Canis lupus familiaris: one gene and its partners. The protein of the gene in region 1 interacts with the protein of each later gene in a pairwise test. Links are inferred from orthologs where the notes say so. Each region holds a gene or a part of one and is shown in the gene's direction. Other genes may lie near its edges. The genes, in order: STK16, PLSCR3 and MIIP.

Region 1 (3,742 bases):
TGTCCACCCGCGCTACTCTACTAGTTTGTAAGATCCTCTACATCTTGAATCCGCTTCATCAGCATCACCTGGGAGCTTGTTAGAAATGCAGAGTCTCAGGTCCTACCTCAGACCTATTAGAATCAGAATTTGGATTTTAACAAGATTCCCAGGCGATCCGAAAGGCATTCAAGATTGAGAAGCACTGTGGTACTAAACTGAGCTCCCTGAGGGTGAAGAGTACCTTGTCCATCTTGCATCCTCAGCTTCTAGCACGGGACTCGGTACATAGCAGGTTAAATCTAGATGAATGAATGTCGGAACCAGGGGGCTAAAACAGGTTCGGAATCAATCTTCCCAGTGGTGTGAAAGTAGGAACCAAGTTATAAATGGGATTTTTTTTTTTTTCTCCTAGTGGCCCTGCTACAGCAAAAGAGACCACCTCAGCCATTCTGTCTTCTTTGGATGTCCACCGCTCTTCAATTTATCCCTGCCCTGCCTCAGCGAGAGCTGTCAAGAACAACTACCTGGGGCCAAGGCTTGGGAATTTATGAATTTCCATGACTCCTGCCTTCACAATCCCAAGCCTGGGATGTAAGGACCAGGATAAGAAAAATAGAATCATAATAAAAATAACAGCAACTTCTATTTATTGACACCAAGGCTGTGTCAGATAGTGTGCTAAGCACTTTACATCTCACTTCATCTTCAAAAAGCTCCGTGCAGTTGGTAATTATCACTCCCATTTTACCCATGAGGGAATTGAGAGGCAGAAATTTTAAATAGTCTGCTCAAGGTCACGCAGCTAGTTTAGCAGAGCTGGGAGCTGCAGCCTGGCCTCCCCGTACGGGCACCTAACCTTAGGTACTGTTAGAGCTTGTTTACAACTGGGGAAACCGAGGCTCTGAGAGGTTAAGTCGTCCAAGGTCACGCAGCTAGTAAGCTCTTAACCACTGAAACTAGGGTAGTGGGATGCAGGCCTGAGCCCCGAAGGGTGCACCGATCGGCGCTGTGGGGGTCCAGGCCGCCGGCCCCCGCCCGGCCCCCGCCCCTCGGGGCTGGACTGCAGCTTCCTACCTCCGGCATTGGGAGACGGGGGGCCTGGGGGGCCTCGGGCCGAGCCCGGCTTTGCTCCCCTTGGGCGCGGGTGCCTGCGTCCTGCCCACTACTGAAGGCCTGGTGTGGAACCCTCACCGGGTCCCGGGACCCGTGCTCCCCCGCGCCTTAGCCCGCCCCCGGCCTCTCAGCTCCGCGCCCCCACATCCTCCGGATGCCCTGCGGTTGCTAGGATACCGCGGGCCGTTACGCCGGCGCGGCCTGATGACGTAGACGCTCCTTCCGGTCCGCGGCGCTCGTCTCCGGCCGGAGCCAGGTCAGTGGGGAGTCGGGGCCGGCCCTCCCGGGGCTCTGCGCGCCGAGGCCGGGGCGGGCCCCGCCGGGTGGGCCCGGGCCTCGCCCCCACGCTCCGCGGCTGCCGAGGCGGCCCGACGGCGAGGACGCGGCCTGGGCGTCGCGGCGTGGCCCGAGGCTCCAGGGCACCCGACCTCGGCCGTGCCCGAGCCGGCGTCGCCAAGGCTCGTTTCCTCTGCGTTCCGAGGCCCGGGCGCCAGCTCTGCACGTCGGCACTTCGGGGGTCGTGCCTGGCCCACGACCCTGCCGTCCTTTGCCTTCCAGCATGATCCGCGGGGCCCCCAGCGCGTCGCCTGGAAGAGCCCCCTCAGCCCGCACGCGGCCGTCGGCAGCCCCGGACCGCCCCTGAGGAGGATGACTGAGGCGCTATGGGCCACGCGCTGTGTGTCTGCTCCCGGGGAACCGTCCTCATTGACAACAAGCGCTACCTCTTCATCCAGAAACTGGGGGAGGGGTGAGTGTTGAAATCGCCTAGCCAGCCCCCAGGGTTCTGGTGAGTGAAGGACAGCAGTCTGCACGTGATAGGGCCTCAGGAGGTTCATCCTTGTAAAGCATCCTTTAGCTCCCCTGACAGAGCCTAGCAACCCGAATGCCAAGAAAGTGGATTCTGGAGCCAGGCCTCCTGGCTCCACCTGGTGTGACCTTAAGCCGTGGTTTCATCATCTGCTTAATGGAGATAATCATCTTTTTTTTTTTTTTTTTAAGATTTTATTTATTAGAGACACACACACACGCACATGCACAGGCAGAGGGAGAAGCAGGCCCCATGCAGGGAGCCCGATGCGGGACTCGATCCTGGGTCTCCAGGGTCAGGCCCTGGGCTGAAGGCTGCGCTAAACCGCTGGGCCACCCGGGCTGCCCTGGAGATAATTATCTTTTGTCGCTGATGGAGTTGTGAGGATTAAATGAGATAGTGCATAGAAATCATCTCACCAAAAAGAGAAAAAATAATAATAATAATCTCACCCAGGGCCCGGTTCACAGCACTTGACAGATGTTGACTGTTACTTACTCATGTAACATTTCCGGAGCATTTGTCACGTGCAGAGCTGTGCATTATGACCAAGGTACCTCAAAGATTGCTGTGTTCCTACCCTTGAGCTCAAAGTGTAAAATCTTCAGACTTCTCCTGAAGCCACGTCTTGGGAGGGTTTCTGCTGACTGGGAAAGACACCCCCTCCCCTCCCCACCCAGGGAGTTCCTCTGGGTCCAAGCAGTGTGGGAGATGACCGTGGTCCTTCACTGACCCCTTTGGCCCACAGTGGGTTCAGCTATGTGGACCTAGTGGAGGGGTTACATGATGGACACTTCTACGCCCTGAAGCGGATCCTGTGTCACGAGCAGCAGGATCGGGAGGAAGCCCAACGAGAAGCAGACATGCATCGCCTCTTCCATCACCCCAACATCCTCCGCCTTGTGGCTTATTGTCTGAGGGAGCGGGGCACTAAACATGAGGCCTGGCTGCTGCTACCCTTCTTCAAGGTCAGAAAGTCTCCTGGCAATGGAGGGGCTTGCAACAGAGTCATCTACCGAGGGCTGTGTGAGTAGCCAAGCACGTTAGGAAGCAGAGACCATGTCCTGTGTTGGACCGCTTCAGATTTGGGGTTTAGGGGAACCCAAGTGGGACTGTGAGGTGTGTAGTGTGTGTGGTGAAAGAGCTGCTAGGCTGTGACACAGGGAAGGGATCAGGCTGAGGGAGCAGAGACCCAGAAAACCTGTCCAACCGTGGGGAAACTTGTGTTGCAGAGGGGTACGCTGTGGAACGAGATAGAAAGGCTGAAGGACAAAGGCAACTTCTTGACTGAAGATCAAATCCTTCAGCTGCTGCTGGGTATCTGCAGAGGCCTTGAGGCCATTCATGCCAGAGGTTATGCCCACAGGTCAGTGGGAGGGCCCAGTGTGCTTATGGGGCAGAAAGAAAGAGCCTCACCAAAAGGATTGAGTGGTCTCTGCTCTCCTCCCAAGGAACAGTCCCCATGATTCTTTTGCCCCCAGGGATTCTAGTCTCCCTATCCAGGGATGTTCATGGGCCATTTATTTCCACTTTCCTGCAGGGACCTGAAGCCCACCAATATCTTGCTTGGAGATGAGGGGCAGCCAGTTTTAATGGACTTGGGTTCCATGAATCAAGCTTGCATCCATGTGGAAGGCTCCCGCCAGGCTCTGGCCCTGCAGGTAAAAGAGTGTCCAGGTTCCTTTGCCCTCCTGTTCCCCATCCTCAGCCTTTCCTGTTGCATGCCCCAGTTTGGTCACATGACTATGACCTGTGCCTCTCTTTTGAGCTATGGGGCCACTCTTCCAGGACTGGGCAGCCCAGCGATGCACCATCTCCTACCGCGCCCCAGAGCTCTTC
Region 2 (3,642 bases), on another chromosome or scaffold:
TCTCACCCCTCAAACAAGTTCTCTATTATTGTCTAGGTGTCCTCCAGGTCTGCCACTTGTGTCTGTACTAATAACACAGCATCCTCTCCTCCTGGCTACCATCAACGACCCAGACCATCGTTCTTCACCTTGCAGCTTAAATGGTTTTTCTAAAACACAAATTTGGCCTTCTTTTTGGGTCTTAAAATCATCTTTCGGGGCAGCCCCGGTGGCTCAGCAGTTTAGCGCCGCCTTCAGCCCAGGGCATGATCTTGGAGATCCGGGATCCAGTCCCACCTCAGGCTCCCTGCATGGAGCCTGCTTCTCCCTCTGCCTGTGTCTCTGCCTCTCTTTGTGTGTGTCTCTCATGAATAAATAAAATATTTTTAAAAAGAAATCCTCTTTCAGTGGGCTCCCTGTGGACCCGGGCGCCAAGTCCCAGCTCCCACCTGCCTTGCGCACACATGGGCTGGCCTCCGTCTGTAAGGTCCTCTCTTGCCCCTCGGCCTGTGGGTCCCAAGGCTCAGGACCGCCTCACCCCTGCGGGCCTCTGCTCGGGACCCAGCAGAAGCGACTCCTCGGGGAGAAGGCTTTCCTGCTAGCCGCGCTCCTCCTCTGCACCCCCCCCAGCCCCACTGCGCGCACACTCATTGTTGACACCGTTTGGCGGCCTGTCACCCACGTGGCCGGGGGCTCCTGCGGGCAGTCCTGTCGTTGCAAGGTGCCCGCGTGGGTGACTGCGACGTCACGGAGAGGAGCCCGCCAGGCAATCCCCCAGGGGACAGAGGGGGAGCTGGGGGCCAGCCCTGGAAGCCAATGAGGGAGAGGAAGGGTGTTCCGCTGCGTCAGCGGGGCCCCGCACCGCCCTCGAGAGGAGGAGCCTGGGGTCCAGCGCAGCGCCAGCTGCCCTCGCTTCCCACCCAGGGACACGGAGGCACTCTGTTCCCGGGGACCTGGCGGGGTGGCAGGGCCAGGTCTCCGTCGGCGGCCCGCCCCAGGCCAGCTCCCCCTGATCCCCCGCGGCGGAGCAGAGGCGGCGGGGACGCAGACCGCACCCGACAGCCGGCGGTCAGCGGTCAGCGGCCCCGCAGAGCCGGCTCCCTTTCTGCGCAGGCGCGCCACCCAGGCCGGGAGGGGCGGGGCTCGGACGGGTCGAGGGGCGGGGTCAGACCCCGGGCCCGCCTCCTCCAGCTCCTGTGAGCCACCGAGTGCTGGGCACCCCAGCTATCCCAGGGGCTTCAGGTGAGCGGGGGAGGAGGGGGCGCCGAAGGGTCAGGAGGCCTCCCTGGAGGTCCGGCCGTCGGTCAGGCCGCGGGTCCACCTGCCTTGCCGTCTGTCAACCGCCGCCTCCACGGAAAATGGGAGAACAAAGGGAGGGGGCGGTTCTGGGGCCCCCGAGGGAATCCAGGGTCCCAGGTACCCCGCCCTGCACGCTGACACTTTCGGTTTCTTCCTGAGTCAGAGGCGCCGCCCGAGGGACCCTGGGCCGGCGCGGGCGCAGCTGCCTGTCCGCGTCTGCCTGTCCGTCTTTGTGTCTGCCTCTGTGTCTGTCTGGCTGTGCCCGAACTTGCTTCTACCTCTAAAACTGAGCGTCTGGGACCCCGCCATCCCGTCATCTCTCGCCCCTCTCCCATGGCAGGTAAGTGGGCGCCGCGCTGAGAGTCCCCGTTATCCCCCCCACAGACTGGGGAGCTGGGCATCGAACACATCCTCCGGGAATGTGCTCCGACTGGCTGCGTGGGGCCCCTCCCTTCCTCCCGGGAGCCGCCGCCCTGCTCCCCCGCCCCATCTTGCTCAGCCTCTGCCCATCGCATTCTCCCCCTTCCCTGCAGCCCCGCAGCCCGGCCATGGCCTAAGGGGCGGCGGGGGGGTGGGGGGAGGATGAGGCGGGGGGGGGGGGGGAAGCTTTCTGATCCCCTCTCTTCCCCTCCCCACCACAGGCTACTTGCCCCCCAAAGGGCACGCCCCTTCACCCCCGCCTCCCTACCCTGTGACCGCTGGGTACCCGGAGCCGGCGCTGCACCCCGGGCCTGGGCAGGTGCCTGTGCCTGTGCCCACCCATGTACCTGCTCCCGCGCCCGGCTTCTCTCTCTTCCCCTCGCCCGGCCCCGCAGCCCCAGGGCCTGCTGCCCCGTTCTTGCCATTGCCGGGGGTGCCTTCTGGCCTCGAATTCCTGGTGCAGGTGAGTGGGAAGGAGGGGACGGGAGCGACGAGGAGGGGACCCTGGCGTCCAGGCCAGCCAGCTAACATTGGTGCCGACCCGACTCTTTCCAGATTGATCAGATCTTGATTCACCAGAAGGCCGAGCGAGTGGAAAGTGAGTGGAAGGAGGAGTAGGTTGGGCCTCATCCCGGGGGCAGAGAGAGAGGGCCCTCGGGCAGGTGCCTGTTCCTGTGCCTGAGCCTCGGCCTGTCACCCCTGGCAGCGCTCCTGGGCTGGGAGACCTGTAACCGGTATGAACTGCGCTCTGGGGCAGGACAGCCCCTGGGTCAGGCAGCGGAGGAGAGCAGCTGCTGTGCGCGTCTGTGCTGCGGCGCCCGGCGGCCCCTGCGTGTGCGCGTGGTGGACCCCGGGGATCGTGAGGTGCTGCGCCTGCTCCGCCCCCTGCACTGTGGCTGCGGCTGCTGCCCCTGCGGCCTCCAGGAGGTGGGCGGGGAGGGCTGGGGCCAGGGAGGGGTTTGGGTGGGCGGCAGGCCGTGATGGGGGGGCCCTTGGGTGGAATCTGGACCACCCAGAATGAGGCGCGGGGTCCAGTGTGGCCCCGGTGGGCGCAGGCAGATGGAACGCGAGGTCAGCGAGGGGAGGTGACAAGGAATGGGAGGTCTTGGCAGGGCAGACGGGTGACAGAGCCCGAGCGGTGAGAGCTTGGGCCAGGGTGCCCTGGCTCGGCAGTCACCCTGTCTGCCTCCCACTCCAGATGGAAGTCCAGGCTCCACCCGGCACTACCATTGGCCACGTGCTACAGACCTGGCATCCCTTCCTCCCCAAGTTCTCCATCCAGGATGCTGACCGCCGCACGGTGCTGCGTGTGGTGGGGCCCTGCTGGACCTGTGGCTGTGGCTCAGACACCAACTTTGAGGTATTGTGAATAAGGGGAGATTCCTGGGACCTTCATCAACCAAGACGGTGGCTTCTGTGAATGAGACAGGATGGCCAACACTAAGGTCCCTGAGGTCATCAGTCTGAATCCACTGTGACTCCTGTCCTGTTTCCAGTGTTCCTTCATTCAGAAAGGGTTGCCCCTGTGGTCTTAAGAAAGGAAAGCTTGGTAAAGAGGGTTTCATCGTAAGGACCAAAGCTGATTGTTACCCTATGTGGAAGGGGGCAAAAAACCTAGGCTTGATTCAGGGCAAGTCCGCTGTGGGCTGGACCATGTGGCTGCTATGCATGACTTTGTGAGCCTCAGACTCTGGAGTAAACAACAATTTTAATTGCTAACATCCTGTGGCTTGCCCTTCCAACCTATGATCCAGTGATGTATATCCTTGTCAACATGCATTCTATCACCAGCCTGGAGCACCCAAGCGGTGACAGTTTCAGGGTGAGGCCGGGGAAGCGCTTTCATTTCTAGAAGACAAAGGCATCTCACAGACACTCGGGTTCTTTAAGGGACCATCAGCAGTGCAGATAAGGGCAAAATAACAGGTGGAAGCCCATGAACTT
Region 3 (3,251 bases), on another chromosome or scaffold:
ACCCCGCGATGTCGTGCCTCAGGTTTCTTAGGAGCCTGGGTCACCCCCACCGCCTCCTCGTGAGGCCCGCGAGGCCGACCCATCTAGTTCCCTCCTCCCGCCTGGCTCCGTCCATCCATGCTTGTTCGCTGTGCTTGTTCGCTGCGCGGACGGTGGGACTGGGACGGCGTGAGGGCCGACTCGCTCGGTGCGGAGCTGGCGGTCGCGGTGCGTGGGGCGCCCCCGCTGGTGTGTCGTGTGAGGCAGCGGGGCAGAGTCGCCCCAAGTGCCGGCCCCTGTCCCCGGCCCACAGCCACACAGCAGCGCTGCCGCTCGCCCCCTCCAGGGTCGCTGGACAACAGCTCCCCCGTCACCAGCAAGCCCGATGCCTTCTTCTCGGAGCTGAAGGATTTCCGGGAGGCCAACAAGGAGGAGTGTATTCACAGCGACCCGGAGTGAGCAGGGGTGGCGAGGGGTGGCGAGGGGTGGGAGGGCGGCTCACCCCTCCCCCCCCCCCCCCCCCCCCCCCCCCGCCCGCTGGCTCTCAGCCCTCTCCCCTCGCAGGCCCCGGCCCCCAGGCGTGCGGGAGAGCCGTGGCGTGGAGGAAGAGCATGCATGTGAGTGGGTGTTCTCACCAGGCGCCCAGGGAGGCGGCGGGGGGCTGGGGGGCCTGGGGTCCAGGTGCAGTGAGGCAGACCTTGGGGGCTGCGGGGCAGCTGAGGCCAGACCCTGCAGGACCAGGCCGGCCCTGTCGCCCACCTCCCCCGCCCCGGCCGCCTCTTTCCTTCGCGCCTGTCTTTGCTTCGAGCCCGCACGTGTAGCATGTGTGCACACGTGTGTGGATGGCGCATGTGTGCTGTGTGTGATGACTGCTACAGGTGTGCGTTTGTGTTCACTAGTGTGGTATGAAGCTGTGTCACGCCTGCACACGGGTGTGAAAATGCCCGTTTGTGTGAGGGCACCAGCCTGTGTCCCGCTGGTTTCGTCACGTGAGCACACGTGCACGTCTGTGTCGTGTATGTGTGTGTGTGTGTACACCCGTACGTGTCTGTGCGTGTGGGGTGGGCAGCAGGGGCTCGGGGAGGTGGGGGCCCAGCTGAGGGGAGCCGCTGCTCACGGCCCCGCAGGCGTGTACTGTTACCACGTCAACCGACGCCTGTTTCTGGTGCCTTCCGACCCCGGTGTCCCCTGCCGCCTGTGCAAGACCCCCCGGGACCAGAGGGGCCCTGAGACCCTGCTGGAGCCCGCGCATGTCAGGTGAGTGGCCAGAGCAGGCAGGTACTGGGGGCAGCACAGGGGCGGCCGAGGAGGGGAGCCAGCCTGAGGCCGGGCCGGTCCTGAGGGGTGCAGGGCGGCCTGGGACGCTGGCCCCACAGTGCCTCCTCTCTGCCCCCTCCCGCAGGGTGAGCATCCCGCTGTCCGTCCTCCACCCTCCACACCAGTACCGCATCCACCGGCGAAAGAGCTTCGACGCCTCCGACACGCTGGCCCTGCCCCGGGTGAGCGGCCACATGGGGCCTGGGTGGAGCTGGGCTCGGAGGCAGGTCCCCAGATGGATTCTGAGGCCCAGGGAGGGCCGAGACTGTCCCAGGGCCACACAGCGAGGCCGGGCCGCTCCCATCGCCTGCTGGTCTGCTTGCTCGCCCGCCCCTCATACGTGGGCCGCCTTCCTGGAGCTCCCGTGTGCCGTGCGCGGCCTCTCGGAGGCTTGGCTCACGGAGCCCTCACGGCAACCAGGAGCGCAGGTCCTGGAGCCTCCCGCGGTTCAAATAAGGAGACCGAGGCAGAGGGAGGTGCCTGGGCTCAGGTCAGCAGGTGGCAGAGCAGAGATGTGAGCAGGCCCTTCCAGTTCCTGGTGCCTCCCATGGAAACGTTCTTCGTGTCTCCTGGCCAGGGTGGGGGTCGGTGGGGAGGAGAAGGGGTGCTCATCTGTAAAATGGGTACAGCCTACGGTCCTCAGACCAGTGGGGTGAGTCGGGCCCTTCAGTGAATCAGTACTTCTGGGCCATGGGGCACGTGGTGCCCGGGAAGTGCTCAGCCACTGTCCATGGACATCCCCCTCCTGTCTCAGGTCGGGGCCAGGGCCTGGGGTCCCCCAGTGTGTGGACACAGCCCCCTCCCCGGGGTGCGCCCCCTGGAAGGGAGCCCTGCCACAGGCCAGACGCCTTAACCCTTGCTGTCCACAGCACTGCTTGCTGGGCTGGGACATTTTCCCTCCCAAATCCGAGAAGAGCTCAGCCCCCAGGAGCCTGGACCTCTGGTCCTGTGTGTCCTCCGAGGCCCAGCACCGGAAGCTGCCCGCTGCCAGCCCTTCCTACCTGGTATGGTCAGGGTGCCCCAGGACGGACATGCCTTGGAGCAGGCCTGGGGTCTGCAGAGCCCCCGGGGGCGGGAGGGGGCAGGGGGAGCAGAGCCAGGAGCGTCTCTGCAGGGGCCCGTCCTCCCCGCCCACGGCACCTCCCTTCAGGCTCTTCTGCTCCCTGCCAGCTGCCCCACCCCACCCGGGAAGGTGACCTGGACTCTACAATCCAGATGGGGATGAGGGGGGAACGGAGGGTGACCATCCAGGCCCTGCCAACACGGGTCCCACCCTGCACCCCAGTGTGGTCAGGACCCCAGGCCTGCGCCCCCTGTGAAGCCCTGAGGACTGGCCATTTAGAGGAGGATGGAGCCGCGGCCACCAGCTGTAACCCGTCTTCTCTGTTAGGGCATCCGAGGAGGGAGCCCTGCCCGGCCTCAGCTGCAGGTGCACTTAAGCTCCGGCCTCCTAGGTTGGGCAGGTGGAGGGACCCAGGCCCTTGTCCCTCTTGGACAGAGGTGGGGATGTGACATGTTTGTAAATAAAGCCCATCCTCGTCTGTAGCTCCAGGTTGCCCTGTGTGCTGGGTCTGTCCTGCTGTTGCCCTCGGTGTCCGGGAGGTACCCTGGCAGCGCCTGCCCACCCCGGGGACAGGGGGTCTGACGCTGGGTGGGGTAGATCCAATGCCTGGGTGTACCTGCAGCTTCCAGCCCTGGGTGGGTGGCCTCTGGGGTGGGGGCTCGGGGCCTCAGGCTGGCCCCTGCAGACAGCGAGCAGTGAGTGAGTTCTCCCCCCTGGTTCCTAAAGCTGGGGTCCAGGGCCCCAGGCTCCTCTGAGGCCCTCTCTAGCCAAGCCCCCGGAGCCACAGGTGGTCGGGGCTGTGGTCGGGGCCGGGCGGGGAGCCAGAGGGTGGGCGGGCCGAGAGCCCAGATCAACGGCCAGTGTCTTTCTCCTGAAATCCTGCTTTTGAGGA

Evidence for each region.
Region 2: the proteins of STK16 (region 1) and PLSCR3 interact in binary tests that used the Homo sapiens proteins (3 or more experiments, as listed by UniProt). The two-hybrid records come from large-scale screens. The link is inferred for Canis lupus familiaris from reciprocal best matches to the Homo sapiens genes STK16 and PLSCR3.
Region 3: the proteins of STK16 (region 1) and MIIP interact in binary tests that used the Homo sapiens proteins (3 or more experiments, as listed by UniProt). The two-hybrid records come from large-scale screens. The link is inferred for Canis lupus familiaris from reciprocal best matches to the Homo sapiens genes STK16 and MIIP.

What each region holds. Positions count from the first base shown.
Region 1 is NC_049258.1:25,668,351-25,672,092, forward strand, and holds the start of STK16 (serine/threonine-protein kinase 16), read left to right. Parts: upstream 1-1,256; 5' UTR 1,257-1,351; intron 1,352-1,653; 5' UTR 1,654-1,757; coding exon 1,758-1,843; intron 1,844-2,432; exon of another isoform or gene 2,433-2,447; coding exon of another isoform or gene 2,448-2,456; intron 2,457-2,651; coding exon 2,652-2,871; intron 2,872-3,135; coding exon 3,136-3,269; intron 3,270-3,443; coding exon 3,444-3,564; intron 3,565-3,691; coding exon 3,692-3,742. UniProt on the Homo sapiens protein: Membrane-associated protein kinase that phosphorylates on serine and threonine residues. In vitro substrates include DRG1, ENO1 and EIF4EBP1. Also autophosphorylates. May be involved in secretory vesicle trafficking or intracellular signaling.
Region 2 is NC_049226.1:32,535,405-32,539,046, reverse strand, and holds part of PLSCR3 (phospholipid scramblase 3), read left to right. Parts: intron 1-761; exon of another isoform or gene 762-1,221; intron 1,222-1,437; exon of another isoform or gene 1,438-1,441; 5' UTR 1,442-1,611; coding exon 1,612-1,618; intron 1,619-1,919; coding exon 1,920-2,161; intron 2,162-2,253; coding exon 2,254-2,296; intron 2,297-2,404; coding exon 2,405-2,625; intron 2,626-2,896; coding exon 2,897-3,058; intron 3,059-3,642. UniProt on the Homo sapiens protein: Catalyzes calcium-induced ATP-independent rapid bidirectional and non-specific movement of the phospholipids (lipid scrambling or lipid flip-flop) between the inner and outer membrane of the mitochondria.
Region 3 is NC_049223.1:83,744,602-83,747,852, reverse strand, and holds the end of MIIP (migration and invasion-inhibitory protein), read left to right. Parts: intron 1-325; coding exon 326-434; intron 435-543; coding exon 544-596; intron 597-1,106; coding exon 1,107-1,236; intron 1,237-1,381; coding exon 1,382-1,478; intron 1,479-2,165; coding exon 2,166-2,300; intron 2,301-2,581; coding exon 2,582-2,623; 3' UTR 2,624-2,700; downstream 2,701-3,251.